Linked DNA regions of Canis lupus familiaris. The protein of the gene in region 3 interacts with the protein of the main gene of each other region in a pairwise test. Links are inferred from orthologs where the notes say so. Each region holds a gene or a part of one and is shown on either strand. Other genes may lie near its edges. The genes, in order: CCHCR1, BRD8, FSD2, ESD, FMR1, SPATC1L and CORO1A.

The links.
Region 1: the proteins of FSD2 (region 3) and CCHCR1 interact in binary tests that used the Homo sapiens proteins (3 or more experiments, as listed by UniProt). The link is inferred for Canis lupus familiaris from reciprocal best matches to the Homo sapiens genes FSD2 and CCHCR1.
Region 2: the proteins of FSD2 (region 3) and BRD8 interact in binary tests that used the Homo sapiens proteins (3 or more experiments, as listed by UniProt). The two-hybrid records come from large-scale screens. The link is inferred for Canis lupus familiaris from reciprocal best matches to the Homo sapiens genes FSD2 and BRD8.
Region 4: the proteins of FSD2 (region 3) and ESD interact in binary tests that used the Homo sapiens proteins (3 or more experiments, as listed by UniProt). The two-hybrid records come from large-scale screens. The link is inferred for Canis lupus familiaris from reciprocal best matches to the Homo sapiens genes FSD2 and ESD.
Region 5: the proteins of FSD2 (region 3) and FMR1 interact in binary tests that used the Homo sapiens proteins (3 or more experiments, as listed by UniProt). The link is inferred for Canis lupus familiaris from reciprocal best matches to the Homo sapiens genes FSD2 and FMR1.
Region 6: the proteins of FSD2 (region 3) and SPATC1L interact in binary tests that used the Homo sapiens proteins (3 or more experiments, as listed by UniProt). The two-hybrid records come from large-scale screens. The link is inferred for Canis lupus familiaris from reciprocal best matches to the Homo sapiens genes FSD2 and SPATC1L.
Region 7: the proteins of FSD2 (region 3) and CORO1A interact in binary tests that used the Homo sapiens proteins (3 or more experiments, as listed by UniProt). The two-hybrid records come from large-scale screens. The link is inferred for Canis lupus familiaris from reciprocal best matches to the Homo sapiens genes FSD2 and CORO1A.

The regions. Positions count from the first base shown.
Region 1 is NC_049233.1:980,883-984,320, reverse strand, and holds the end of CCHCR1 (coiled-coil alpha-helical rod protein 1), read left to right. Parts: intron 1-46; coding exon 47-235; intron 236-348; coding exon 349-450; intron 451-456; exon of another isoform or gene 457-791; intron 792-999; exon of another isoform or gene 1,000-1,204; intron 1,205-1,855; coding exon 1,856-2,007; intron 2,008-2,113; coding exon 2,114-2,282; intron 2,283-2,533; coding exon 2,534-2,646; 3' UTR 2,647-2,798; downstream 2,799-3,438. UniProt on the Homo sapiens protein: May be a regulator of keratinocyte proliferation or differentiation.
Region 2 is NC_049232.1:25,859,468-25,863,158, forward strand, and holds part of BRD8 (bromodomain-containing protein 8), read right to left. Parts: intron 3,081-3,691; coding exon 2,944-3,080; intron 2,410-2,943; coding exon 2,191-2,409; intron 1,793-2,190; coding exon 1,648-1,792; intron 770-1,647; coding exon 560-769; intron 155-559; coding exon 1-154. UniProt on the Homo sapiens protein: May act as a coactivator during transcriptional activation by hormone-activated nuclear receptors (NR). Isoform 2 stimulates transcriptional activation by AR/DHTR, ESR1/NR3A1, RXRA/NR2B1 and THRB/ERBA2.
Region 3 is NC_049224.1:55,110,141-55,114,581, forward strand, and holds the start of FSD2 (fibronectin type III and SPRY domain-containing protein 2), read right to left. Parts: upstream 2,889-4,441; 5' UTR 2,403-2,888; exon of another isoform or gene 2,368-2,402; intron 1-2,367.
Region 4 is NC_049243.1:4,524,808-4,528,498, reverse strand, and holds part of ESD (S-formylglutathione hydrolase), read right to left. Parts: intron 2,298-3,691; coding exon 2,130-2,297; intron 33-2,129; exon of another isoform or gene 1-32.
Region 5 is NC_049260.1:117,357,603-117,361,897, forward strand, and holds the start of FMR1 (synaptic functional regulator FMR1), read left to right. Parts: upstream 1-1,447; 5' UTR 1,448-1,529; coding exon 1,530-1,580; intron 1,581-4,295.
Region 6 is NC_049252.1:39,453,863-39,458,319, forward strand, and holds the start of SPATC1L (speriolin-like protein), read right to left. Parts: upstream 2,853-4,457; 5' UTR 2,729-2,852; coding exon 2,527-2,728; intron 1-2,526.
Region 7 is NC_049227.1:18,327,107-18,331,260, reverse strand, and holds the start of CORO1A (coronin-1A), read right to left. Parts: upstream 2,891-4,154; 5' UTR 2,732-2,890; intron 1,168-2,731; 5' UTR 1,167-1,167; coding exon 969-1,166; intron 1-968. UniProt on the Homo sapiens protein: May be a crucial component of the cytoskeleton of highly motile cells, functioning both in the invagination of large pieces of plasma membrane, as well as in forming protrusions of the plasma membrane involved in cell locomotion.

The DNA.
Region 1 (3,438 bases), on a different chromosome or scaffold from region 3:
GTGGAGTCTGGCCACGGAGAGACCTTTGAGTGCCATCTCTTCCCAGGGGAGGCGGAGCGGCAGCAGCTGAGTGAGGTCGCCCAGCAGCTAGAGCAGGAGCTGCAACGCACCCAGGAGTCCCTGGCTAGTGTGGGGCTGCAGCTGGAGGCTGCTCGCCAGGGCCAGCAGGAGAGCACAGAGGAGGCTGCCAATCTCCGGCAGGAACTGACCCAGCAGCAGGAGCTCTATGGGCAAGGTGTGCAGGATGCGGAGTCTGTTTACCACGGAGGGCTGTGAGGAACGGAGAAGCAAAGCTTCCTCTGACACATCCCATCTGCACCCCCGCCCCCCCCCCCCCCCCCCCCCCAGCTCTGCAAGAGAAGGTGGCTGAAGTGGAAACCAGGCTGCGGGAACAGCTCTTAGAAACAGAGAGGAGACTGAATGAGGCTCGGAGGGAGCATGGCAAGGCAGGTGAGATTTGCTTGGGTGGCTGTGGTCGTCCGGGGAGAAGGCAGTGTTGGACATAAGGGTTTTTTGTTTTGTTTTTTTAAGATTTATTTATTTGTTCATGAGAGACAGGCAGAGAGAGAAGCAGGCTCCCCACTGGGAGCCTGATGTGGGACTCAATTCCGGATCCTGGGATCACGCCCTGAGCCAAAGGCAGGTGCCCAACTGCTGAGTCACCCAGGTGTCCAAGGATCTTAAAGCTGTTTTTGAAGTATGCAAATAATGAAGTTACCAAGAAATGGCACAAATACATTCTGAGGCGGTGAACACACTCCTTCAGCCAGCACACATAGGAGCACCAGCAGGTGGCCAGCCCTAGTGCCCCCTGAGCCCTGCCCAGCCACCCCCCTCCACAAGGCCACGGCCATCCCAACCTCACACCAACCATTACCCCCAACTTTTTTCTTTTTCTTTTTCTTTTTCTTTTTCTTTTTTCTTTTTTCTTTTTTCTTTTTTCTTTTTCTTTCTTTTTTTTTTTTTGCCTTAAAGCAATAGAAAATTGTTCTCTTACAGTACTGGAAGCTAGAAGTCTGAAGTCAAGATGCTGGCCAGGGTTGGTGCCTACTAGAGGTTCTGAGAGTCTATTTTATGATTCTCTCCTGCATTCTCATGGTTGCTGGCAATCAGTGGCATCCCTGGTTTGTTGGCACATCATTCTTTTGTGTGTCCATCTTTACATGATGTTCTGTGCTGCACGTGTCCGTCTCCCAACTTTTTTTTTAAAAGATTTTGTTTTTGAGTAATCTTTACAACCAGCATGGGGTTCAAACTTACCTAAGATCAAGAATCATGTACTCTACCGACTGACCCAGCCAGAGGCTTCCCCTCAATGTCATAGTAGGGAAAAGTTCAAATACCTAGCCAAATTACAAGACTCATGCAGTGCCCACTTGTGTACTTCCTCTAACTAGATGCAACAGCTATTCATCTATTTTTTGTTAAAGATTTTTTTTAAAGATTTTATTTATTTATGAGGGACATAGAGAAGCAGAGACACAGGCAGAGGGAGAAGCAGGCTTCCTGCAGGGAGCCGGATATGGGACTTGATCCTGGGACCCCAGGATCATGCCCTGAGCCAAAGGCAGGCACTCAACAGCTGAGCCACCCAGGCGTCCCTAACCTCAGTGTCATTGGCACACATTAAGAAGACATTGATTGCACCAAATTGAATATTCAGTACACATTCAGATTCTCCCTAAATGAGTCCAGGAAGGTTCAGGGATGGGGTTGTGGAGCATCAGCCACTGTGCCCAGCATGCAGAAGACATAGCCCCCCAGTGTTCTGCCCACAATTCCAGCTGTTCTCATGGTGCCTCACTACCTCTGGGTTGCCCCACACCTGTGCCCTCTGTACCCTGGCTTCCACTAGTGGTCTCCCTGCGCCAGATGCAGCGCAAAGCCACCTGGGAGAAGGAGCGGAACCAGGAGCTCAGGCGCCTGCAAGATGAGGCCCGGAAGGAGGAGGGGCTGCGGCTGACCCAGCGCCTGCAGGAGCTAGAGAGGGACAAGAACGTTATGCTGGTAGGGGGTCAGAGACTGGGCCCTGGAGCTGCCTGGGGAGTAGAGGCCTCATTGGGGAGGGGTGGCTCTGCCCGGGCTAGGTGGCATTTGACCCTCTCCTTCCCAGGCCACCTTGCAGCAGGAGGGTCTCCTCTCCCGTTACAAGCAGCAGCGACTATTGGCAGTTCTTCCTTCCCTCCTGGATAAGGGAAAGTCTGTGGAGTCCAGCCCCAGGGACCCAGGGTCTTCAGCAGCTGTGCCTCTGGCAGCACCCACCACCAGGGAGTCCATAAAAGGTAATGGTCTAGGTAGGAAGGGATGGATGGATGTACAGGACTTAAGGAATCTCTCCTCCAGGTGCTCTTAATGGTGTGAGCATTTTTCTCCATGACCTTTGGAGGCCCACAGCCCCTCATCCATGCCCACCTTGGGCCAGAGAACACCCTCCCTCATAACCCTCCCATCTGATGGCAGTCCTGTTCTCTGCAACCGGAGCTGCAACAGCCTTGTCTGTCTGGCTGCTATCCCTGGGGGTCTTCTTTCCTAGGATCCCTCTCTGTCCTGCTCAGTGATCTGCAGGGCCTGAGTGAGGCCATTTCCAAAGAGGAAGCTATTTCTCAAGGAGGCAACCCGAACTGTCCTGCTCCAGTGTGTGGCTGAACAGCTGGGGACTCTGCCTCTGGGGGCTCAGGGTGAACAGCTGGGGACTCTGCCTCTGGGGGCTCAGGGTGGGGGGCCGGCCAGCTGCCCTCGTGGATACCAGCCACCAGGATGTCTGAATGCTGTGGCTCAATAAAGGTGATTACAGTGTGCCATGTTTTCTCTGGGACTGAGAGGGAATTCCCCTGCAGCCATCTCCATCCACCCGGAAAATGCGAGAGGTGGTCCCCAGCTGTTTTCTCTAGGTAGTGCCTTTCTCAAAACCCCTTCCCCAGGCTGCTTGAGAAGTTTCTGGCAAGCCCCAGGTTTTCTTTTTCTCAACTTTTGTTTTAAAACTCTACTTCTGGAAGAAGACCACTGCCCAGAGTGAGGAATATAAAACATCGCTCATTTGCTCAGAGTCAGGCAGTGTCCTCGCTCAGGGGCCATAGTGGTGGGCTTGCTGAGTGGGTCCCTGCTGCCGAGGCACTGCTGTCCTGGTGGTAGAGACAGATGATGGACAGGTACCTAAGTGAACGGACGGGCGTCCTTGGGAAGAGAAAAGACATACAAGGTGATAGAACCTGACCAGGGAGGGGCCGCCCGATGCTGCCTCCCTGAGGAGGGGCTGTGTGGAGGACCTGCCTGAGGTGGGGAAGCAAGCAGCGGCGTTGGCTGGAGTCCTGCAGATGGCAGGCTAGCATGGAGGGGGACCTGGTGGGGTGCGGGTTTTATTCCAGGTCAGTAAAAAGCCCTTGGAGTACTTGTAGCAGGGATGCAACCACATGATTAGGCTGACTTCTTTTTTTTTAA
Region 2 (3,691 bases), on a different chromosome or scaffold from region 3:
TTTGACCCCCCAGGGGCCTCTGCTACCCCTGATCGGAAACACTCTTCTTTGATAGAATTGATGATCATGGAGATTTCGCTGCTATCCATGGAAACAGTCACAGTATGTGGATCCCCCACAGCCTCCATGGGGACACAAGTGTCAGGCTGACTCACTGAGTAACAGGAAGAGAAAAGCATTTCATTTGATACCAAGTGACAACCTGGAGATCAACCAAAGCTATAGACAGGTATCAAGTACCCACACACTTAAGCTCAGAAAAAGTTTCTCTTAGATCTACATCTTCATATGTTCTCTTGTCCCCGGTTTTATCTAGAAAGTAGGGTGAGAACACTTTCTCAAGCCCATTCATATGTATACTTAGTCCTTTCCCCTCAACATGTAAATGCCCACCCACATCTTCTCATTCTTGTTTTTCTAAGGATAAAGATGGTACATGTCCATGGAGAACAGAAGCATCTGAATTGGAATCGATCCTCTTGGGTCAGCTTTCTCTAACTGAAGCTCAAGATGAAATTTTGGACCTAGTGGCTGCTCAGGGCGTGGGTCAGGGACGCACCTGGAGCTACACTCTCAGGAGTGGAGACAGCCGGAGCAGAGGATGGTGTTGGCAGCGCAGGCATCATGACAATGGTAGCCTGGGACACAGACTCTACAGGGGGTGGCACAAGTTTAACTGGAGGTTCACTGGCAACAGTAGTGAAGGAAGCAAGAGGAGTGGTGAACTGTGTAGGACCAGCTTCTAAAAGCCGGGAAAGAGTGGGAGCACCTAACAAAGAGGTACACAAAATAAGGTAAGAGGAAAGCACGTGAACAAGAAGCAATCGCCACTTTAAGACTCAACCAAGAAAATTTTCAGTCTCAAAGAATGAAAGGAACTCCTCTGTTGAATTAAGCTCATTATCTATATCCTTTCTTTTTCCAATCTTACTAATAAAGATCTTCTTCCAAGTTAGGAATGACCCAAAAGCACTAGACACACAATGCATGTGAAAAACGGGTGGTAATTTTTCCCCAGAAGAAAATTAATTAGTATCAACAAAGCCATGAAAAACCAGTATGAACAAATCTGTCGCTTCTGCAGTTAAGCATGCTATAAACCATCCAAATTCAACACCATTCAAATATCCATATCTAAAGTTTGATATTTTATAAAACTTTTTTTTTTTTTGCTTTACTTTTTCTATCTCACTTAATCATCATGACATCCTTGTGAGGTACACATACTGCAATTAATCAAAGAGCACATTGATGTTCAGGAGTTAAATCACCTATCCAAGGCCACAGAATCAGTATGTGGCAGGCCTGACATTCCAAATCCCAATTCTCCTGTACTTTAACCTCAGGTAGTCTTTAGCACCTTTCCATAATTTTGCAAGCCCCAGAAAAGCAGCTTCACTAGTAACTTCACAATTTTTCTCATTGATATCTATGCTGTGGTCATTCTGGGGTATCAGTATTTTGAAGACAGAATAGATTTACAATCTGAGGCACTATGTGGTTTAACAGGTTAAGTAGCTCCAAAAAAAGTTAGGCTTCACATCTACAATTGACAGTTGCTTACTTCGAAGGCTAGAAACCAAAGACAGTCAATACTATGATCAACATCTGTGAAGTAAAGTAAGTAATGGAAAAATGCTGACTTACCTGAGGCAGCAGGGGAGGCCGCAACAGTGTTGGGTGTCTGCTGCATTTCCCCACCATGTATCATGGGAAGAACCCCGCCTACCTCCAGGAGGACACCTGTACTGTTCAAGTGGCCAGAAGCCACAGCCATTTCACTCTCATTGACCTACCAGGGAAGAACAGAGATGAAGGCTACACTCAAGCTTTCCTTTACTACCACTTCCCAAAAAAGTTCCAGCAGATGATCAAACTTCATGAAGTTAATAACCAAAGAGAATAATTTCAGACCCAAGGGAAGCTCTAATTTTTAACACTTATTTGACAAGAGTTCTCTGGAGAAGAGAACCAAAGTAATTGTGGTTTCAGATAACTCAGGACCCAAGGATACTATCAACTTACTGGTTTTTTGTCTCTGGTTTTGTTTTTTTAATTAACATTTAATTAGGAGATCTCTTTCTCTTTTGAACTTTTTTTTTTTTTCCATGTCATATTTTAGGTCCCAGGCACTCCCTTCCAAAGTACTAAATCACCACAGCTCTCAAACACCCACAGAAGTCTCCATACCAGTCTGGGGCTAGTAGGCAGGAGGCTGCCCTTCTTCAAGAGCTCTGACAGCAGAGGGGAGGGGGGTGGAGTTGCTTTCTGTCCAAGCATCTTTTTCTGGGGTGAATCATCTGTTACTGGGGTCATGGGGGCTTCTAAGGGTGCAGAGCCTGGAGGAAGGGTGTCAGGAATCCCAGGAAACGAGGTGACTGGGGTACTCGGCAAAGTCCCAGGGGTTACCTAAGAGACAACAGAGAACCTTTATCTGACTTCTCAAACTATGGAAGGTTCCCTACTAATCTGGATGGGTTAGTGTGTCTAACTATTACTTTATTAGTCCTGAGTGAAATTGCCCAGAAACCCTCTATACCTCCTGCTCTCAGCCATTCCTTTCTTCCTGTTTTATCTCTTCCACCCACTCAAACCCACAATGACCCAAAAATTCCACCCAACCTGCCTTTCACAAACTGCTTAACCACTGCCAATATTCTATTTACAAGAAAACTATCCCTTATTTCTACAGGAATTTTATTAAGACTAGTTTACTTACAAACAATTCCTTAATATTTTACCTATCTCCCAAAAGGTCAAAAGGCTCAATGTTTTTAGGTCCATTCTTATCTTAGAGCACAGAACATGGTAAGTTAAAGTCTTTAGCATTCAGACCAAGAGAGGAAATTGCCTCTCGGCCAAAAGAGGGTTCCTCATCACTCAGCTCTCTGCTGGCTTATTGCCCCTTTGCTGATCAATTCCTACAGATGAAAATATACTCACTCCAGAGGTGGCCTCTTCCATAGTGGTTGCAGTCAAGTCTCCGAGTGGATAATCACCTCCTGGGGAGGCAGAATCTATAGGAGAGCGGACCATCACAGTGGGTAATCTCCGAGGGGGTGTTTTTACTGCTTGACGAGCTAGAATGTAAGAGACAACAATTACTAAATCTTTAAGATTAAATACATGAAATGACTCTACTGTCTTATTATATAATAAAGGGCATATGGAGATGTTGCATAAAGCAGTAACAGGAGTTAGGATTAGAAATCTTTAATACTTCTGGAAGACCAGAAAACTGTTTAGACTTGTTTTTCCTAAACAGAATTCTCACATAAGCAAACTCACTGAACTGTCTCAAAGGTCCTTGGAGTAGGAAAGTGATTTAAACATTCCTCAATATCTTCTTCAACTAATAATTAATATTCTGTTTTTAACACGAGGGAACGACTTCACTGGCTCAAAGGATGTATTCCTAAACTTACAAATGTTTAAGTTCTTATCCAATAAATGGACTATTTTCTTAATCTTCTTACAGGGCTTTGAATTCTAAAAACTTAATTATATTTAACATCTATATTATAAAGCCTTTGCATCCTAAAAGGACAAAAAGTGAGAACTTAGCAGAACTCCTATTCCAAGAGTTTTTCCTGGATATAAAGGAATGTTTTTATTCTGGTAAAAGAAGAGGACATAGAAAAGTGCACAAGTAAATCAGCATCGGTAGATTCTATGTTACAATACAGTCTCT
Region 3 (4,441 bases):
ACCAGGAGCTCATCCTTGACATCACCCAGGTAACCAATACCCAATTAATGCTGATTCTGGTTCTATCAATTCAATCTCTAGGGAACACCCTCACCCCACCCTTAACCCCTCTCTAAGGCCACTGCCCTCTGGATTCAGAAAGCTCTGTGCTTGTTTTCTGTCTCTGCTACTTCTTATCGTGGTAGCGTTGGGAAAGTCACCTCTCAGGGTCTTACTGTCATGAGCCCATGAAATGGGCCTATTGTGCTTCCTGCCTCCTAAAGATAGCATTAAAAAAAAAAGATTTTATTTATTTATCCATGAGAACACAGAGAAAGAGGCAGAGACATAGGCAGAGAGAGAAGCAGGCTCCTTGCAGGGAGCCTGATGCAGGACTCGATCACAGGACCCGGGGATGATGACCTGAGCTGAAGGCAGGTGCTCAACCGCTGAGCCACCCAGGTGCACCCTAAAGATAGCATTTAGATGAAATAACATGATGTGTGTAAAATGCTTTGCCTAGCCCAGGGCTCAAAGTCAGTGCTCAGTACGTGTCAGTTGCTGTTATTAATGTGGGGGTGGCTGTTAGTATCATTATGTGGACCCTGGCCTCTCCCACAGGGCACCCACGAAAGGAGAGGATGGGGGTCAGAAAGTGAAGACTCACAGTAGCCATGGCAGAGTGGAGGCCCTGCAGCCGCTGTGGGATCATTCCATCCCCTGAAAACAACCAAAGATGGGAGAAGGCACCAGAGTAGAAGAGCCTCATCTCCAGGCACAAACATCCACTGTGAGGTCGCTGGTCCTCACAACATGAGCTTCCAAGGGGCCTATGCTGAGGTATAGACCCTCTAGGGGTAGAAGTTCCCTTGGAGAGCATCTAATTCAACTTTCTGATTTTAGGATGGCAAAACTGAGTTTCTGTGAGGAGAAAGGACTTGCCAGGCCCAATTTCATTTAACAAGGGGTGACCCAGGGCTACTCTGTGTCCGGCCCTGTGCTGTATGCTGGACACATAATCCAGCAGGTAAAGAGATGGATCCAGACTCAGTTTTCCACTACACCATATTGCCTACAGACCCTGGAGCAGCCTGCTAAAACTAACACATTTCTGTGTGCCACCAAAAGGGAGAAAACCAGAATTCTGTATTACCAATAAATCATGCTGACAAATTCTTTCAACCGGAAACTGAAGGGTGAAAAACCAAATTGAACTGTCCTACAAGCAAGAAGACTGGAAAACATTGAGAACAAATCTAATGGGAACAAACTCTTTTGTGCCAGCCTTTCCCCTTTGGACAGACAAACAAACTGGTCTGGGCACCCGGCACCCAAGCAGGAGGTTTGCAACACACCTCCACAGCTGCCATGCACTTTCCTCCTCAACGCTCAGACTCTTTTAGTGTCTTACCAAAATATTCAGAATCTAGGGAGAAGGAACATTACCAATAAATTGTCATTTCATAAGTGATGAAACTGAACCTCAGAGAAATAAATAGGTCACAGCCTATAAAGAATAGAGTAGCTAGACAGCTTCTACTCTAGGCCATGGGGCTGCAGTTACAAAGAAAACAGACTTTTGCTGTCTATGTGGGAGGTATACCCCAGTGCATTAATTAGAAAAGTCCCCCACAAAAAAAAAGAAAGAAAAAAGGAAAAGTCCCTCACAAAAATGATTTTTAACCTTCTATAGGGCACGAGAGTTTCTGGGAATCTACTGAAAGGTGTTAATTCTCTCCCCAAAAGTGAGCCCATGAGGGCACAAACGTAATTTTGCCTATAGTTTCAGAAGCTCACCTGTGTAGCTCTTAGAAATTCCCAAGCTGCAGCTGAAGAAACTTTGCTTTAAAGTGTTGGCTGTGCAGTTACGCAAAATAGCTCAAATCAACTTTTACAGACACGGTCCAAACCTGGAAACTTTCCATGGGAGGAGGGGTATGTATAACAGGTGAAAAATGATCATAGTCCTGTCTTCCCGTATGTCAATCAAAACATGAAATTCTGATTTCTTGGGATGCCCACACAGATTAAAACAAGATGTATTTATCAATTGGTCACTGGAGCCAGAGGATAACACTATTTAGGGTTCCAAACTGTTCTAGCAAATGGGCCCCCGCACTAAAAATACTCTATGGGTACATTTTAAGAACGGCCAGCCTCTATCTGTTTAGGGGCTTCCACACCCTGTACCAACACTACGTTGTATTAGCAAGGCAAATCCATGCTACTGGAAGGCACAGAAGACATTCACAGTTTAAGATTCTGCAGTTTAAGATGATACCTCTCTCCCTAAAGGAACGATTTTGCATTAACATTGTGGCATCAAGTTACGGGGTTTCTAATAAAATACCCTTTGCATTAGAAGACTATGATTATCCAAAAACTTGCCTGCTTATTTAAGGGTCCACAGGGTCTCCTTTTACCTCCAAGGTCTCTGGATGATGGCTGGAAAACTGAGGATCTCCCTCTGGGTTACCTGTGCGCCCCAGAGGGCTGCCTCCGACTGTCTCACAGCAGGACTCTGCAGCTGGGGTGCAGAGGTGATGGTAACATGAGCTGGCTTCCTGCTGCAAATAGCAACAGGCCTGCCATGAGTGAAAGCCCAAATATAGACCTGCCTAGGCTCTCTTGCCACTTCTTGCTGCTCAAGTGTCACCGGGAGAGGTCACATGCTGTCCTCTGAGTTTCTTCATATACTGGGAGGATTTGAGGCCTAGAGACCCACTGAGCTACTCCAATGGCTGGTCATGTTTAGAGGGCTGGAGGCTGCCACAGCAGGGTCAGGAGGGTAGCTGCAGGGCATGTGGAGAGGGAGGGCATCTGAGGGCCCTTGTGTGGTGCATCTTCCACCTGACGCTCTATTCCAAGAGCGTTTTGAACAAGCACAACTCTGAAGGCAATCAGATGCAACTTAATATTTTTTTCTTCCACCATTCCTTTAACATTTACTCACAGTGGGAATTATTTCCCTCAGTGGATAAAAAAGTCCAGCAGATCCATGACTTTCTGATCCCTCTTAGGTGACATTCAGTCCAAGGGTGAAGGCATAGTCTGCATTCAGCAACTGAATGTATAGTGCAGAATATTAATGTAAAAGTCAGACTTTGCTTAGCCAGTATCAAAATCTTCTCCCCTACCCGGTCTGGGCCTCTTTAGCTGGAAGTCTGCCCTCAGAAAGGAGGAAAGAGATCGGCCTCTTCTCCCCACACCTCCTTATTGAGCTGCTGGTGGAACGCCAGGGCAGGAGGCGCCAAGGTGATAAGATGGCTCCTATTGGAGTTAATGCCACAATGGGTGCTATCTTCCGGCTCTCTGGGCTGGCAGGTGCTTAGAGCTCTCTATTGTGCACTTGTGTGTGTGTCTACACTCTCCCTCCCTCTCTCATGGAGAGTTTTTTACATCTCTGGAGTTTTCCATTATGGAGACTTTCCCCCCAGGTTTCCATAACCAGGCTGAGAACGCTTCTCTTCCAGGGGGTCCCTTGCATTCTCCTTATAGGCTCTGGTGGGCCACCTCCAGGATCTCTCAAATGAGGTCTCCTTACCCATGCAGTTGGCTCTCTTGGGCAGGATATGATGATTCCTTGCTGACTCTGTCTTCTTCCTGGCTTACAACTGGATTGTAGGAGGCAGGCCCATCCTTGGTCCCTGCAAACTCTGGAATGCTGCCAGAACCAATGCAGCCACCTCCCCTGGGTCTGCCATCAAAGCAGCCAATCTGCTCACCTCAGGCCACCTGCAGGAGATACAGCAAACTCTCTGAAGGGTCCCTTTGAAGATCCTTCATTGGGCTTGGGCCTAGAGGACAGGACTTCCAACCTTCCCTCCATCCCACTAACAGCATTCTCTGGAGAAATGGCTCCACCAATTTTCCCCCTGAAAGCATGAATTGGGTTCTGGACCATTTCCTTGAAAAGTCTCCTTATGGTGATTTGATCTCAGAATTTTGCATCTGCTGCTTTTTAAATCTCAATCAAAATGTAATTTGAAAAATATCATTACTGCCAGGTATCTAGAATATTAGAAGCAAAATAAAATATCAGAACAAAAAAAATGAAAGACAAAATTTACGCAAAGATATATATGTACAAGGATGTTCACCACAGCATTATGCATATTGGCAAAAAGCTGAAATTAATCTATGACTATCAATATAGAATTTGTAAACCACAATACACTCAATATTGGCAAGTATTAAAAACAATCATGTAAATACCTATTTTTTATGTGGAAAATATCCACAATATAGCTGTAAGTAAAAAGAGAGTATAAAATACAATTACAGCATAATCATATATATATTATATAGATGATATATAATATATAGCATAATATATAAATATATAATAATATATGATAATACATATAATAATAAACACAAAATGAGAGCAGAGTTTAACTTTTGAGTTATTTTGCTTTTTTCTTTATATTTTTTATTGTACCTATTTTGATAACAATTATTT
Region 4 (3,691 bases), on a different chromosome or scaffold from region 3:
ACCCTGCCTGGGAATGGTCAGAGGTCAGGAAGGTAAGTGTTTCCATTCAAATGACCATGCTGACTCTACTGGAAACTAGTCCTATGAACTTTACATACATAATACTTTTCTAAGCCTGCAAAACAGATGGACAGGAGCCATATATGAAAATCCAAAGCAAACATCACACTGAGTGGGGAGATACAAAAGTTCTTCCTCTACGATCAGGAACAAGACAAGGTGCCCACTGTTGAAACTTCCTGTTCCACACAGTACTGGAAATCCTAGCCAGAGCAATTACACAAGAAAAAGACATAGAAGGCATACAATTTGGAAAAACAGAGATAAAATGATCTCTGTTCGTAGATATGATCTTGTATGTAGGAAACCCTAAAGATTCCAAAGTAATAAAATACAAAAGCAATACCCCAAAATCAGCTGCATTTCTATCTAAAAGAAAATTATGAAAACAACTATATGATTCCACTTATAGGAGACACTGAAAGAAGTCAGATATATAGAGAAAGTGGAATGATGGATGCCAAAGGTTGGAGGGAGTAAGGAGGAATTCAGTGTTTATGGGTATAAAGTTTCAGTTTTACAAAATAAGAGTTATGAAGATGGACGGTGGTGACGGCTGAACAACATTATGAACATACTTAATAGCACAGATGTGTTTGTTTAGTTAAGATGGAGGGGCACCTGGGTGGCTCAGGTAAGCGGCCAACGCTGATTTCTGCTCAGGTCATGATCTCAAGGTCCTGGGATGGACCCTGCTGGGCTCTGTGCTCAGAGGGGAGTCTGAGGATCCTCTCTGCCCCTCTCCCTTTGGCCCTCCCTGTGCTTATGCTTTCGCCTCATCTGTCCTTCTCTCAAGTAAATAAAGATTTACTTTAAAAAAAAAGGGTTAGATGGTAAATTTTATATATGATATTTTTACACAATAAAAAAATTATGAAAAACCTTAAAAACAAACAAAACCCCCAGATGGACAGGATAGGAATGGTCACTCATTTGACTACATAAGGATAAAATGAGCTAATGTTGTGAAAAGCTTTTGTAAACTGAAATGTACACGTTATACACTGATCTACATTTACTTGGACATTTATCATCATTATTATACATTTTAGATCAACGTGCCTGACATATGACCCTGGAATGTGAATAAAAATGTTTTAAAAAATCACAATCATTTGTAATTTAGTGTTCACTTTTCATCCTGAAATATTTTGTTGTTTAAATTACATACCAAAGCTTATGAATAAGCAATTTAAAAAAAAAGCTGAATTTCTTTTGTTGTTGTTGTTGTTGTTGTTGTTGTTGTTTTCCGAGTTTCTTTAATTATAACTATATTAGCACTGAGCTAGGTGAGTAGGGGACAGTCAAGTCTTTTAGTCAAGGAATAGCTGCAAATCAATTGAAAGTGAGTAATTATTTTTAAATTAAAAAAAAAAAATACCACAAAGCACAATGGCTAGACTAGCAGCTAACTCAAAAAGTATCAAGTGCCTATGTTTGTGTGAGACAAACAGTTCACAGCTTCTGAGGCTAAGATGTATACATAAAGTGAAGAGTGATTACGGTGGGAGGTTATACTTGTTATTTACGCGAAAACAGCTGTATGTGCAAAGACAGACACAGCAGAAATGCAGCAGATAAAGCACTATTCAAGCATGAAGCTTCTTGTTATTCAGTGGTTCTGCAGTGACACAGAAAATTACAAATACTTCTCACTTCTGAAAGCTTTCTTCTTTCTATGGAATTTGATCTTAGACATCATTACCTTAGTAAGAAGGCTTTCACTTTAAGTGTCTTGTTATAATTAAAAAAAAAAAAAAAAACCTTACTAGAGGTAGCTTTTCAAATTCTGAAATATAAGGTATTATGGAATCTTGTCTTTTTTTTTAAAGACTATTTATTTAGAGAGCAAGGGAGCGAGCGGGGAAAGGAGCACAGGGAGAGGGAGCATCTCAAGCAGACTCCGAGCTAAGCACGAGCCAGACTCAGGGCTCCATCCCATGACCCTGAGATCACCACCTGAGCTGAAATCCAGAGTCGAATGCTTAACCGACTGAGCCACCCAGGCGCCCCTGGAATTTTGCTTTTTTATAGTTACTTAGAACAAGCAGAGGTTTCCGAGTACTTGCCTCTTGTAATCTAAAAACAACAGGGACTTTCTTTTCTGTACAGGCAGCTATGAAGTTATCAGGTAGTAATTGTCCGTCTGAAAGGAACTGGTCATCTTTCCCTTGATCAATTAGTATGTCCAGCTGAGAACCGGGGTAGGACTTCACAAGATGGGTAGCATCATAAGCCTAGAAAAAGACAAATACTGACAAATAAATTTGAAAGTGCCCAGAAAGATGTTCTTCAAAATAGACCACAGCAGAACCAAATAGAAATTTAACGTCATTTAAGCTCTAAGGACGATTAAATCAGAAAAATGCTTTTTTTACATTGTCTTGTCTGGCTTTTACTTGTAAGGGCTTCAGAGATCGATGTCCCATTTATAGCTGCTTCTCTACTTCCCAGCAGTCCTGGGCCAGTGGCGAGAATTTTGTATCTTAGAATTCTTCACAGTTTGGACCCTTTTCTTTTAAACCTCTGAGCTTTTTAATTACCTCTCAACTCCAAAAAACAAAAACAAAATGGTATTTTTTTCTTTATAAATTCCTCCAGAAACTTTCTTTCTTACCTTTTTCTTTTTCTAGATATTATTTATTTCAAATAAATAGTCTATTTTGTTGTCTCTTCTTTTTGGCTCTAATTCTGAACTTAAATACATTCAGCCTTTTCTTTTATTCAGCACCAATGTTTGCTATCCCCCTAGGAGCTTTGGGGAAGATTTAATTTAAATAATCTGAATCATATAGACAACTCCTCCAATTTATTATCTAAGGAGCTGCCACCAGTTACAAGTTTGTACTTTATCATCCAACTTTAAGTACTCTTATTTTTATATATTCACTAGTCACAACTTCTATGCGCAATCAAGACAAAACCCTGTTTTTTAAGACTTGCTTTAATTTTATGAGAGAGTGGAAGGAGATCTATAAAGTCCAACTAGTTCAAAGTTCTGTGATTCCATAATTCTGTGTGGCTTCCTTATTCTGAAATTAAGTAATAGTCTAAAACAATATACTTAAGATGGTAAAATCTACGGTCACCGAGAGAAAAATTATATAATTAGATTCCTTTATAGGTTACCTGTGCCTCTGCCTCTCCCTTCCTTTTTTTTTTCTCTCCCATCCTATCAACCAGTTTGTCTTCTTCTTTCTTTTTTAAGATATATTTATTATTTGAGGTAGAGAGAGGGAGAGCAAACAGAGAGACAGAGAGAATTCCAAGCAGAACTCCCAGCTGAGTGGGAAGCCGGACTCAGGGCTCGATCCCACCACCCATGAGACTATGACCTGAGCTGAAATCACAAGTTGGACGCTTAACTGACTGAGCCACCCATGTGCCCCACCAGCTGGTCTTTTACCCAACACTTCTATTCAGAACCTAAGCCCCATATGGATATGAAACATTATCACCTTTGTGGCCTAAGATCTTGAACTCCACATAGGCTCTGCACAGTGGCAAGGACTCCAGACACCAAAGTACATGCACTGTCAGCTCTCAAAGCACCTAAAAGTCATCACTTTCTGCATTCTTCCAATATAATAAAAATATAAGCCTCAACAAAACAGAATTCTAATCCAGTAAC
Region 5 (4,295 bases), on a different chromosome or scaffold from region 3:
GTTCACCCAACCTCCACCAATTCTCTCTGGTCACATTCCAGCTGGAGTCACTTCCCAGTTCTGACCACCCCTGTCCCACCCCAGACTGGGTCCTGGCCACTATCATAGGTGTATCTAATTCTTCACAGCCCTTATCGCAGTTGCAACTCCACATTTACTTTTCTGATAATTTATGTCCATCTATGCCTCTACGTTCCTAGGTGAAATGCTGGCAACTTTTCTCTTTTTATTTCTCGCTAGCACTTAGCACAGTGCCTGGCATATAGCAGAGGCTCAATAAACGCCTCCTGTATCCTACGGAGTACAGGCCTTCCAAAGGAAACCTAGGTCAACGTGGATGCAAGCTCGGTGCAGAAACAGGAATAAGAAAGAGCTGAGGTTTGTTGTACTGTGGGGGGGTAAAGAGGGAGCGCTGCACCGAAAACAGGCGCACTGGCCCCTGCAGAGAGGTCACCTGACTGCTGTACACATGCGCACACTCCACCCTCCTATTCAGGGTGGGCATACAGTAGGGGCCAAACAGTAGGAAAATAAATTGTAAAGAAATTTAACGAGTGTTTTAAGACATTTTTTTTTTTTAAGTCAAGTATGGAACTGAGCCGAGGGAAGTACACGGGTCAGTGCTGGGTCTGAGGGCGGCCTGACATTTCCAGAGGTCCTGACGCAGTCCGCTGCCCTCAGAGGGCACAGGATGTAGCCACAGGACAGCCCAAAAGCTCTTGCGGAGGGAGCGGCGTTACTCTCACCTGCTGCCTCTAAGGGTCACACAAGGCTGGGTCACCGTGGAGGCCACTGTTACTAGTTCAAAGTCGTCTTCAGTGTGATTCTTCACCTGTAGTCTTGTCCCCTCCTCCACCCCCAGCTCAATGAGCCTCTGCCCCACTTAAACGAACCCTCCAACCCAAGGCAGCCCAGACTCGGATACGTGCATACACGTGACGCTACGCGAGCACCGTTCCCACGCCTCTGCTTGACCTTCTACAGGCAAAGGCGCTCTGGCCCTCGCCGGGCGACGCCAAGCGACGCCAAGCGCCGCCGCCTCGGCCAGCGGCGCAACCTGTCACCGCCCTTCCCGCCTTCCCGCCCTCCACCGAGCCCGCGCACGCCGAGCCCGCGCGCCTTACGTTGGGCCCGGCCCCCAGCCGGTGCCTCAGCTGCACGCATGCGCGCGCTCCTGGGCCCGCGGGGAGAAAGAGGGCGGGACCGTGGGGCCAAGCCCGCGGGGGGAGGGGCGGTGTCGGTCACGTGACGCGGTTTCACTGTTTACACGCGGAGCGGTCGGAGCTTTCGGCCTCAGTCAGGCGCTCGGCACCGTTTCGGTTTCACTTCCGGTGAGGGGCCGCCTCGGAGCGGGCGGTGAGCCGACGGCGAGCGCGGGTGGCGGCGGTGACGGCGGCGCCGCTGCCGGGGGGCGTGCGAGAGCGCGGCGGCGGCGGCGGCGGCGGCGGCGGCGGCGGCGGCTGGGCCTCCTGCGCCCGCAGCCCACCTCTCGGGGGCGGGCTCCCGGCGCGAGCAGGGCTTTCGAGAAGATGGAGGAGCTGGTGGTGGAAGTGCGGGGCTCCAATGGCGCTTTCTACAAGGTACTTGGCTCCAGGGCAGGCCCCATCTTCGCCCTCCTTTCCCTCCCTTTTCTTCTCGGCCTCGGCGGGAGGCAGGCCTGGGGCCCTCTTCCCGAGCGCCGCTCCCGGGGGCCAGGGAGCACTCGTTGGGATGTTGTTTGGGAGAGAAGGACTGGACTTCGGGCCTGTAGGAAGCCCCTCGAGCCCCGCTGCCTCTCCTGCGAGAGGCCCCGGTGCCTGTGGGAATGAGAGCGGGCAAGGAGAGGAAGGTGTCCTCTCGGGAGCCGACGGAGAGCCGGGGATGGCCAAGGGCCGGCAGCAGGTACAGGATCCTGGCGGGAAGGGCCGGTATCCGCGCGAACTGCCGGCGACGGCTGATTTCCCTTTCCTAAATATCCTCTCCCAGTGGGATCCGGGCCTGACGTGTGGGTAGTTGCTGAGTAGCGGGGGGCGCTTCCGTCGAGCCGCCTCCTGCCTTGCAAAGAGGTTTTGAGATCTCCTTTGGCTTCTCTTTTCCGGTCCAGCATTGGGACTTCGGAGAGCTCCACTGTTCAGGGCAAGGGGTGTGGAGAAAGAGTAGTAAGAAGCTGTAGTCCGTACCGACTCACAATGGCAACTGATTTTTGGTGGCCTCTCTTTGTGGATTTCAGAAGAGATTGTAGATCCAAAAGTTTCAGGAAGACCCTGACATAACCGAGTAATGCATTAGAGAAGCTCGTAATCTTAAATATTCGCGTTCCCTCTCCCTTGTTATAAATGCGGCCAAATCCAGGAATTCAGATGCTTCAGCATCTAAAAGCATTATAGCAACTCTGCTGCTTAAGGAAAAAAATTTTTAACCCTCCAAAGGCCTTGAATGTATGCCACGAAACTTCAGGCAATTAACTGAGAGTGCATTATTACTAGAGAATTTTAAATCGTGAGTAGAGATAATTGTGTTGTGCTCCAAGTACTTGACTGTCTTCTCTGAATGTGTAATGTTGCAGTCGACGGTATTCAGGTTTTAAATAGACATGCATAGTATTACTGTGGATTTTTCTTTTTTTACGTTACACCACTGCAGATCAACTAATAGCTTAGATTTTCAAAAGGAGGTTTAGAAATATGTTGATGTATCGGTTGTGCATCTGTTGATACATACTTAGTCTAGATCTCATAATTTATAGACTCTTGTTTTCTCTTGAATGTTTCTCTGTAACTTCTGTAGGTAATATCCCACCTTAGTACAGTATTTTGGCAGTAAAAGGTACATATGGGAAGAAGCATGGAAATTAGCTATTGTTGTCCAACACAATTCTTAAATTTATTATGGCATGACTTACACGTTTCAAACCAGACCTGTTTGCAATGGGAAAATTAACAATTGACTTCATGTTTACCAGTTCTGTGGAGATATTTGGAGATCAGCATATTTCATAAGTGGGTAAACTATGTAAACTGTTCATACTTTGAGCCAAAAGATAAAACCTGTAGCTGTAAAAGGAAGAAACCCAGCGTTTATGTTAACATTCTCACCAATATAAAATTGTCTCAGTTGACTCCACAGTCAAAATTTTGGTTGTATTTATTTCAGTGGTCCATAGTGATTCCTGCTAGTTAGTGTGGAATCATCTGGTTCCTAGATTGGTAGTTTTGCTCACTAGATTTGTGGTACTAGCTATAATAAATATAAGTAGGGGTTAATGATTGAGCAGTATTCTAATAGGCCTGTACTATTTGGTAAGATTGGACACCACTGTTAACGTCTTCCAGTGAAGTTTGCCTGCTACAGGAGGGGCTACTAAGTAGCACATCGTGGTGTTGAAGGACATATTGTTCTCTTCCAGCAGCAACGAATGATTTGCTCTGGTGATTTTTCTTGCAAAGTGATTGGAATATAATAAGAATCCTATATCTTTCCTATTAATCCCCCATTTTAATTGTCTTTAACAAATTTGCTTAATTTGAAGATGAATAACAAAAATGGATAGTCCCTTAGTTCCTTGAGGAGAAATGTGAAACTTGGTCAAATATGTGTAGAGAAATTGCTATTACATTTACTTAAAGTTTATTTTTCAGAAAACTTCGAATGGTCTGTATTGGTAGAAAAAGGTTCAAGTTTTTATAGGACTCATTGTTCTGAGTTACAAAAGTAAAGCAAAAAGTTAACCGAGTTGCTTATCCAGTGGGATGGGCAAAAAATATGGGAAATGAAGACCAATAAAAAATGAACTACTGTGGAGAAATGTTAGATTCATGAAAAAATAGGGACCTGTTCATCAAATTGATAGAAAAGCCTTTAAAAAACTGAACAACTCAGATGACTTCAGTATTAGTGAATTCGACTTTGATTTGCCTAACAGAACCACCATATTGCAAGGAATGATTCCCCATCTTCTGAGCACATGGTCCAAGTTTACAGTATAAACTGGATAAAGTATACTTGGGCATATGTGGATTCTTTCTTTGCAAAATAACTAAAGCTCAGGATTCAGAATTAACAGAACCATAAAACCTAAACCCTAAGATTGGACAGCTCATTTTTATTTTTCCTTCTGTTTATTCTTAAACACTTGAAAGTTAGATTTAGTAGTTGTCAGAGCCACTACTTTTGTGCTTAGGTATTACTTTGACTTAGAAAGTTAGTCTGTACACCTTAACCTCTTCTGTTACTTAAGACATGAAGTCCCTTGGATAAACCTCACAAAATCTTTACGAAGTGTTTCCTAAATGCATAATGTTGAAATAAGGTCTTTA
Region 6 (4,457 bases), on a different chromosome or scaffold from region 3:
GGGCCTCCCTCTGCCACATACCTCGGGGTGGCAGCATGAACCTCGGGGACACGCCGTTGAGTCATCGGGTAGCTTACCGGATACATTTACCCGCTTCCCGGCGCGTGTGTGCACACGCACGTACAGGCACACACACATGCACGCACACGGCGAGTCTCACATCCACTGCGCTGCTGAGCCTCGGGGAGGAGTCCCGGTTCCCTCGTCCAGACACCGCGCCGTGCTCCCCGCGCTCCCCGGGCCCAGGTGTGCGCCGTCGGGCCTCCTCGTGCTCCCCCTCAGCAGCCGCCCCGCCCCCGACCCTGGTGACCGTGTCCTGTGCTCACCCCCCTCGGGTTTCATTCTCTGGACTATCTCTGCCTTTTCTCTACTCGGTTTTTTGGGGGGACCGTGGGGGGTGATTCATGTTTCACATCCTTGAAGCAGCTCCTTCTGTCCCCCTCGTCAACGCCTCCTTCCAGGGCGCTAGGGTTAGTGACTGTCACGCAGAAGGTATGACCCGCGGTCACCTTCAAAGTACTGATTCTTCTTGTGATTCACAAGACCCCTTTCTAGCCTCATACGGTGAACTGGTTCTCCCTCCCACCAGAGAGGCAAACACATTCTTGAGAAACCGTGTTTTTTCCGAGCTATAATGAAAAATTGCAGGGGTGGCGGCTGGCTCGGTGGGAGGAGCTGCCCCTCGATGTTGGGGGCTGTGAGTTCAAGCCCAAAGCTGGATGGAGACATTCCTTAAATAAATAAAACCCTAAAAGAAAAAGAAACATCATATCCTAAAATGTACCTCCTCGGGAGCCAACTAATCGACCTTCGGAGATGTTTTCCCAGAAAAAAAAAAAACAAAACTTCAAAAGAAGAACAGCCCCCTGGAGGTGTCTTGCCTCGCGTCCCGACCCGCAGCGGCCGGAGCAGCCGGGACTGTCCCGCCGCCGCCTCAGGACTCCCTGAGCACGGGCTGCCCAGAGCTGAGGGGCAGAGCCGAGGGGGGCCCCCCCTGCACCCACGGGGCCTCGGTGGGCTCAGCCGGCTCGGGCTCTCTGTTCCTATTCGCTGAGCCCCGATTCCCTCCTGTGACTCCAGCACAGGTGTGTGAACATTAAAACAAAACAAAACAAAAAAAACAAACAGCACCCGCTATCTTCGATCCTCAGTCCAGTCCAAGAAGCAGGCACTGTGCAGACCTCGGCCCCCGCTGACGATCGATGGGAAGAGATCATGTCGCATCGTCGCAGAAACCCCGCGGGGAGCCCGGAGCCCAGACCCGCGAGGGGGGCCCTGAGCCGCGCCCGCTCCTCGGCCTCCCTCCCCCCGCAGAAGCTCCGGAAGGGCCCCTCCGGGTTCTGGGCCCGAGGGCGGGATGAGTGGGGGCCCACGACACACGAGCCCTGTGGCCTGCAGCCTGGGGACCCCGCGGAGCGCGGTGTGGCCCGGGGGTCGCGAAGGTGTCCGGGGGGAGGGCGGGGGCCGCGGGGGGCGGTAGAGGCCACAGCCTGGTGGCGCCCCTCCAACAGCTCCGTGTGAACCGGCGGGAGCGACCCCGGCCAGCCCCCAGCCCCCACGAGCGCGGACGTACCGTCCACGGGCTTCGGAGAGGAACCGGGTGGGTGAGCAGCGGCTGCCCCGGGGGGGGGGGCCTTGCGGGTGCGGCCCTCGGGCGAGGGGGCGCTCGGCCACCGGCGCGTGCTGTCCAGTGAAGGACACGGGCTCGAAAGTGCATCCTGCTTAGAGGGCGGCGCTGAGGGGCAGTAGGAACCGTGGGCCTTGGGGCGCAGAGCCTGGGGGGCCTGAGGCGCGTCCGGAGCCCCGGGCATGGGGGCGCTGACCAGAGCTGAGCTCCCCCCAGGGTGGCCGCCGCCCCGCTGACCTGGGCCCCGGCCCTGCAGCAGGGCCTCCCCGCCTCCCCGGCCAGGGCCTGCTGTCCTGCAGGGTCGGGGCCCAGGGCGTGAGCACGGGGGGCGCCGCCGTCCCAGGGACCCCGCCCTGACCGGGTCCCCCCGCAAGTGCCCGTCACTGGGGACCCGCGGGTGCAGGATGGAGGGACGGCGGGGCGGGCCCAGGACCACAGCTGACACGGGGGGGCTCTGAGCCCTGGGGGGGCCCCCGCCGGACCCATCTCCTGGGACCGGGCCGTCCTGGGGCCCGAGGGGGCGCCCTGACCCGCTGTGGGGTGTCCCAGGGCACGAGGCCCCGTGGCCCGGGCGGTCCCTGTGGCAGGCGTGAGCGTGGCCGCTGCGGGAGCTCAGGCTGGCGGGCTGGGGTGTGTCCAGCTGACCTCGTGGGCGACAGCGCCTCCTCCCCCAGCCCCCGCACCCCCGCCCGGGCCTGTCCTGAGACCCCCGGGCCGCAGGGGGGTCCCAGCCAGGAAGGCGCCGAGACCACCCAGTAGGCGGCCTGAGGGCGGCGCCACCCCATGTCGTCCGTGGGGCCCGCGGGCCGGGAGGGAGGCCTCGGCCGAGGACACGGCAGAGGGGGTCCCGGCCCCGCTTTCCCGGGGAGGCCTCGGGCATCAGCGCCCCCGCGGCTCACCTGCGCTCCCGGGGGAGCAGTCCTCGGGGTACGTGGGCGCCCGGGGGAACAGCAGGTCCCGGCTCCCGAGGCCACCGCGCTCCTGGCAGCTCTCGCTGAGCAGACGCTTCAGCATCTGGTTCTCCTTCATGAGGCGCACCTGCTTCTTGAGCTCCGCGTTCTCGCTCATGAGCCTGCTCATCAGCTCGCTCCCCTCGGCCATGGCCGTGGCGCGGGGGCTCACGGGCGGGCCTGCGGCCCCATGGAGGTGGCAGCCCAGAGCCCGCAGACGCTCGGGCACAGCCCAGGCCCCGGAGCCCCACAGCCGCCCGGCCTTCCGCAGCCTTGTGATGTCACCCTTAAAGAGCCGGCACCCTGGTCACCCCGTCACCCCCGTCACCCCAGTCACCCTGCGGCGCCGGGCCTGCCCACTGCAGCCGCTGGCCCGAGCGACACCTCCCACCGGGGCCCAGGCCGCGGAGGGCACGGGGTGGGGCCGGGGGGCCGGGGGCCGGACAGAGGGCAGCCAGCCCACATTGGAATGTTCTGGATCCCAGGAACTGCCGAGATTATGGGCCAAGGATGGCGCCGGGTCGTGCGGCGTGCGCAGGCCTCCGGGGACTCCGGTGGCTGTCCCCCCCCGCGGGGTCAGCGGGGTCCCCAGGACCTGGGCCCAGGTCAGGCGTGCACCCCGGGGACGCACCCTTGAGGCAGGAGGGCGGCGGGGGGGGGGGGGCAGAGGGAGTCGGCGCAGCTCCGGGCCGGCCCTGCAGGCGCTCTGGGCAGGGGCACCGCCGACCCCGCTGTCCCCGAACTCGGCTCCTGCGTGTCCGGAACCCTGACCCACGGGACCTGACCGAGGACCCCGACAGGCACAGGGCCGTGGACTGGGGGCTCCGTCCTGGGCACGGGCGGCCTGGACCCCACGACCCCAGCCCACCTGCTGCCCCGGGGCCCTGCAGGGCGGCGACCTCCCCACTGTCTGGCCCTGGCCCCTGGGCGAGCTGCTCACGCCTCGAGGACATGTGGATGCGGCCACGGGGGGCAGCCGGGTGCACTGGGGCGGCAGCCACGGGGGTGCAGGGGTGCGGGCGGGGGTGCGGGTGCAGGTGTGTGCAGACGAGCACGTGTGTGGGCCAGGGCCCAGGTGAGGCTGACCCCCGGTCGCCCCCGGGTGACCTGGCTGCGGGGCACCCGGCATCCTGTCCTCGGCCTCACCCGACCAGACCCCGGGCTTGTGGACGCTCTGGAGCACCAGCCTCCAGGGTCACCTTCCCACTGTGCTTCCTGCCGCCCGGGCTGGACTTTTGTCGGCATCTCCGTCCTCCTACTCGGGTTCTAGGTTCTGGAAGTGGGCGCCTAGGCCACCAGCTCGAGGCCTTACTGCGGCATCAACACGGAAGCCCGTGGCCGCCCCGCAAGCTCTTACCTCATTGTTTTTTCTTTCAGCTTCAAAGAGTTTTCTTCCCCTGTACTTTCCTTTGGGCCATTGGTATTTAGACACATATTGTTTAATTTCCAAATATGTGGGATTTCCTATCTCTTAGTTACTGAATTCTGATTTAATTCCATTACGCTTAGAGAATCCACCGGATGACTTCAACCCCGTGGGATGGCTCTTGACTCGCCCCGCATGGCGTGTCAGTGAATGGTCCAGAAGCTCTTGAAAAGGAGGAGGTGAAGCGTCCCGTAAATGCCCATGACTTCAAATTGGCTCCACGTTCTGTCCACACTTGCTGAGACAATGTTGAAATCCATTAAATTGTATATTTATCAAATTCCCTCTCCGGCTACATTATGTTTTCTATATTCTGAAGCTCTGCTATTAGGCGCATATACATTATTGTTATTCAAGGTCTATTTTTTTTAAGGCTTTATTTATTGGAGAGAGAGCGAGAGCACATGGCCAGAGGAAGGAGCAGAGGCAGAGGGAGAAGCAGGCTCCCCGCAGG
Region 7 (4,154 bases), on a different chromosome or scaffold from region 3:
ACAGGAGTGCAGGGCTGGGTAACAGGGACACACTGGGCCCCAGTCCTGCCTTACTGGCCAACTCCTGACATCTCTACCCCCACTTTCTTGCCGATGCCCTGAGGGCTGGCACTCCCACCCCAGCTTCCTTGAACCAGGCTTCCCAGGGGATGATAGGCCAGGGCCCTGGGCAGGGGAGGTTGTATTAAGGGTAGGATTCCCCAGGAAGTGTGGGAATGGGGATGGGTCCTTCCAATAGGATAGGGACTGGGGAAGTCTGTCATAACTGGCCCCAAGCAGGAGCAAAGGTTTGGAAATGGCTGCTTCCGGGGACAGCTGCCGCCACAGGGCTTCCTGTGTGAAGAGCTCACCCAGCTCTCGCCCCACAACCACTTCCTCTTCTCTTGGCTTTCATCAGCCCTTTTAAGGTAACAACTTAGGGCCCATGTCCCCTTCCTGTCTCACCCCTCAAGGCAAAGGAGTGTGCTGGGGGTGGGGGTCAACAGAGCGGAAGGGGGGTTGTGAGCAGCAGAAGCAGAGGGAAGGCAGGTTTGGGGGAGGGGAGAGGGCCTTTCATGTCCTCCCTGCTTGTAGCCCGGGGCCAGAACTGGCTGGAGCTCTGGAGGGTGATGGGGGCTCAGACTGGCCTGGCCCCAAGCCCCTCCCACCCCGTGAGCACCACTGGGTCTGCCCAGACCCCATGGAGCCCAGGCTGTGCTCCAGAGGGGAGAAGTCCCTGGGCTAAGACTTGGGACACCTGGCCCTGGGTCTGCAGGACTCGCTATATGACCTTTCTGGTGTCACCTGAGCTTCAGTTTCCATGCGACCACTGCATGTTGGAGCTGGAGGAGGCTTAAGGCTCATGTGGCCCAGCTCAGTTTTACATATGACAATGCTGCAGCCCCAGAAGGCCTGGTGACAGTCACCTAATCAGGATCAGAGGCCCCTTCAAGTGGAAGACTACTGCCCCAAGGACTCCAGGGGCTCACCTTGCCCAGGGGCAGCACCAGGAAGGCCCCTCCGCCACTGGCCTCGCAGATCAGGGCCATGAACTTGGGGTTGACAGCACAGAAGCCACTGTCCCAGGTGGTCTGTGAGACACGCACATCCTCATAGCACTGGTCAGCCTTGGCTGGTTGTCCAAACACATGGCGGAACTTGCTGGAGCGGACCACCTGCCGGCTCATCCTGGGGGGTAGGGGCACGTGGGCTTGAGGGCCTTTCTCCCTTCAGGTTGACTCTGACCTTAGAGTGTTCCCCATGTCCCCCCAGGACACCCCTCAGCTGGTGTTTAGGGTCTCAGCTAACTTCCCCAGCATCTTCCTGGGCTCCCTGCTCCGTCCTCTGTAACTACCATCCTGTTGCCCTCATGCTCACCTTCCTCACCCCTTGTCACTCCTGGCAAACCTGCAAGGCCTACCTTTTCTGCCCACCCAGGCCTCTGGTCTGTACCCTCAGCCTCTATTCCAGAGCCTGGGGGTGGGGTGGGGGCAGTAGCACCAAGAGCCCATCTGTCGGCTGCTGCCAGACACAGCCCTTTCTCTCCATGGCTCACCCTCCCACCCTCTGGGGGCACAGCCTGGAGGGTAGCTTCACTCCATCACAGCAGCCACAGCTCACATTGCTCACACCCACACAGAGAGCTTCCTGAAGGCAGGGGCAGGGCTGGCCTCCCTCACCTCCTGGCACGGGGCTAGGCATCCAGGGGGAAGCAGCACGTTGACCTGCCCAGGAGGCAGGTCATCAGAGGCAGGGTGGCCTCCCCAGCAGGTGTCTGGGCACCAGAAACAGGCAAATGGCCTGGGTCCCACTCTCTCCTCCCCACACCTCTGCCTCTCGAGTCTGCCTGAGCAGGTGCCCCTAAGTGCCATTTCCACCTGCTCTGGAACTATGCACAGGGAGAGGTGGCACTGATTTCCCTGAGGTCCAGCGGGGCTTCTCCCACCTGGCTGGTCAGAGAGCGACTGAAGAGGATGGTGTTGCCTCTGGCTCCCCAGGCTCCAGGCTCCATCCTGAAGCCCAACTGCATCACCTCCCTGCTCAGCGTGGGCGCCAGGCCTCTACCCCCTCCTCGGTTTCACCCCTTAGACTGCCTTTGGCCCTGGCCCTTCTCGCGGGGCACCCCGCTGCCCTGGTCGGCCCTGGTCGGCCCTGGTCGGCTCCGGGAGGCTCCGGGCCCACCTGCCCAGACAGCAGGTGAGGAGCACGTGTGAGGAGAAGCAGTCCGGGGCCAGAGGGATCAGTCCCGGGTCAGACCCTGGGCCTGGAGCGAGGGTAGCCCCGAAGCCAAGGCTGGGGAACAGGAAGCCATCGCCCCACCCGCCTCCTCCCCCACTGCAGGTACCAGGCCCAGAAACCGCGGAAAGGGGAACTTGGTCTTTTCTTGTTTTGCTCTCAACCCCTTCCTGTCTCGGAGCTCAGGGCAGCCGCTCGGCTCACCCCACCCTGCCCCCCCGCCCCCGCCGCCCGTTCCGGCGCGAGCCAGCCCCCCGCCCCCCACCTCCATCTTGGCTGCGGTGGTCCCTCACCCCGCCTGCTCACGGCGCCCCGGACGCGCAGACGGACCCTCCCGCGCACCCCCTGCCCCCCGGCGAGCCCCCTGCACGCGCGGCGCGCACGGCCCCGTCCCCGGTCCCCGCCGCGCGCTGACAGCCCCGCCGCCCCCGCGGCCGCCTCCCGCCCGGCTCACGCCTGCCCCACAGGTGGCCCAGGGCAGCGATGCCCGGCGCCTCGCCCGGGGACCCGGGCTTACCTGCCGCTGAGAGAGGAGGGACCCCCCGGATAGAGGAGGGAGAGGAGGAGGAGGAAGAGGAGGAGGAAGGCGCTGGCGGAGCCAGAGGCTGCCCGCTGAGGATGCTCTTGTCAAGACAATGAATGAGAAGCGCCGCTGCCCGCCTCCTTAGGGGTGGCAGCGCCCCTTTGGGCGGAGCTCCTGAAGGGCTCCCCGCCCCCCAGCCCGCGGCCGCCCCGCCCTCCGCCGCGCTCCGCCGCGCCTGCCAACTCCCAACCCAAACAGATGCTGCCGGCCACTCGCTGACAATCTAATCGGCACTTTTGTAATGTCAAAATGCAAAAATACCCTGTTCCTTCTTCCCTCCTTCAGTCCGTCCCCAGCCCACTCACCATCCTGTCCCTGGCGTTCGCAGAAGCGCCCATCAGGCCCCCACGCCCACCCCCAGCTAAGGCTGAGCTGCCTTCCTCGCCCCCCCCCCACCACTCCCAGACGAGGAACCGAGAGGAGGGGAGCCCTGGGGTCTCGTCTAGGCTCCTCCGTTTACAAACCGTGGCCTCGGGAGAGTCACTTCTCTGCCATCTCAGGTCTTCACCCTGGAGCACCTCTGCCTCGCCTACCTCACAGGGAACAAATGAATTACTCTGGCATTCTGGAGGCTTCTTCCTGCAGGAGCGGCAGAGGTCAATGAGTCAGGGTCAGGTTCCTGCCCCCAGAGGGCTCTCAGCCTCCCAGAGGGAGAGGAGAGGAGGGCTCCAGGGATGCCAAGCAGAGTAGAAGCCAGACTGCACACTCAAGAGGAAGGAGGAATCCATCGTCGCCCTTGGATTTGGAGAAGGCGTCAGGGAGGTGGCAATGCAGAGGGCAAGAGAGGCATACTCCAGAATCAGGATGCTTGCTGAGTTTGGCTCCTGGTTGTCACACTACTGAGTGACCAGGGCAGGATACTTAACCTCCCTCAGCCTCAGTTTCTCCCTCTGTAAGAGTCCTACCTAACTCGAGAGGTTATAGGGGGAAGCAAAGCTTTATGCACCTCCTCTTGGGTGTAGCAAGTGCTTAATAAATGTTGGCTCTCCCCATGATCACTGGGTATTTGGGCTGACAGCTCCGTATGAGGGGCGCTGGGACAGTGTATCTGTTGGGTGTTGCTGGCCCACCATCTTACCAAACCCTCTTTACTGACGGCCACCTCTGGATTTTCCTTTGGGGGACCAACCTTTCCTCACTGGCAGTCCCTGAAGTTCAAGAGGGGGTCCAGGGTGGGCACAGGGCCACAGTTCCCCAGTCAAGCAATCTTTTTTGATTGGTTTAAGGATGGGCACTTGATTCAAGGCTATGTAATCAGAAGCAGACTGGTTGAAGCTGCAAGAAAAAGCTATAAGACCGGCTATAAGATTGGCTATAAGACTGGCACTAGTAGTGACCATCTGGTCACCATCTAGGA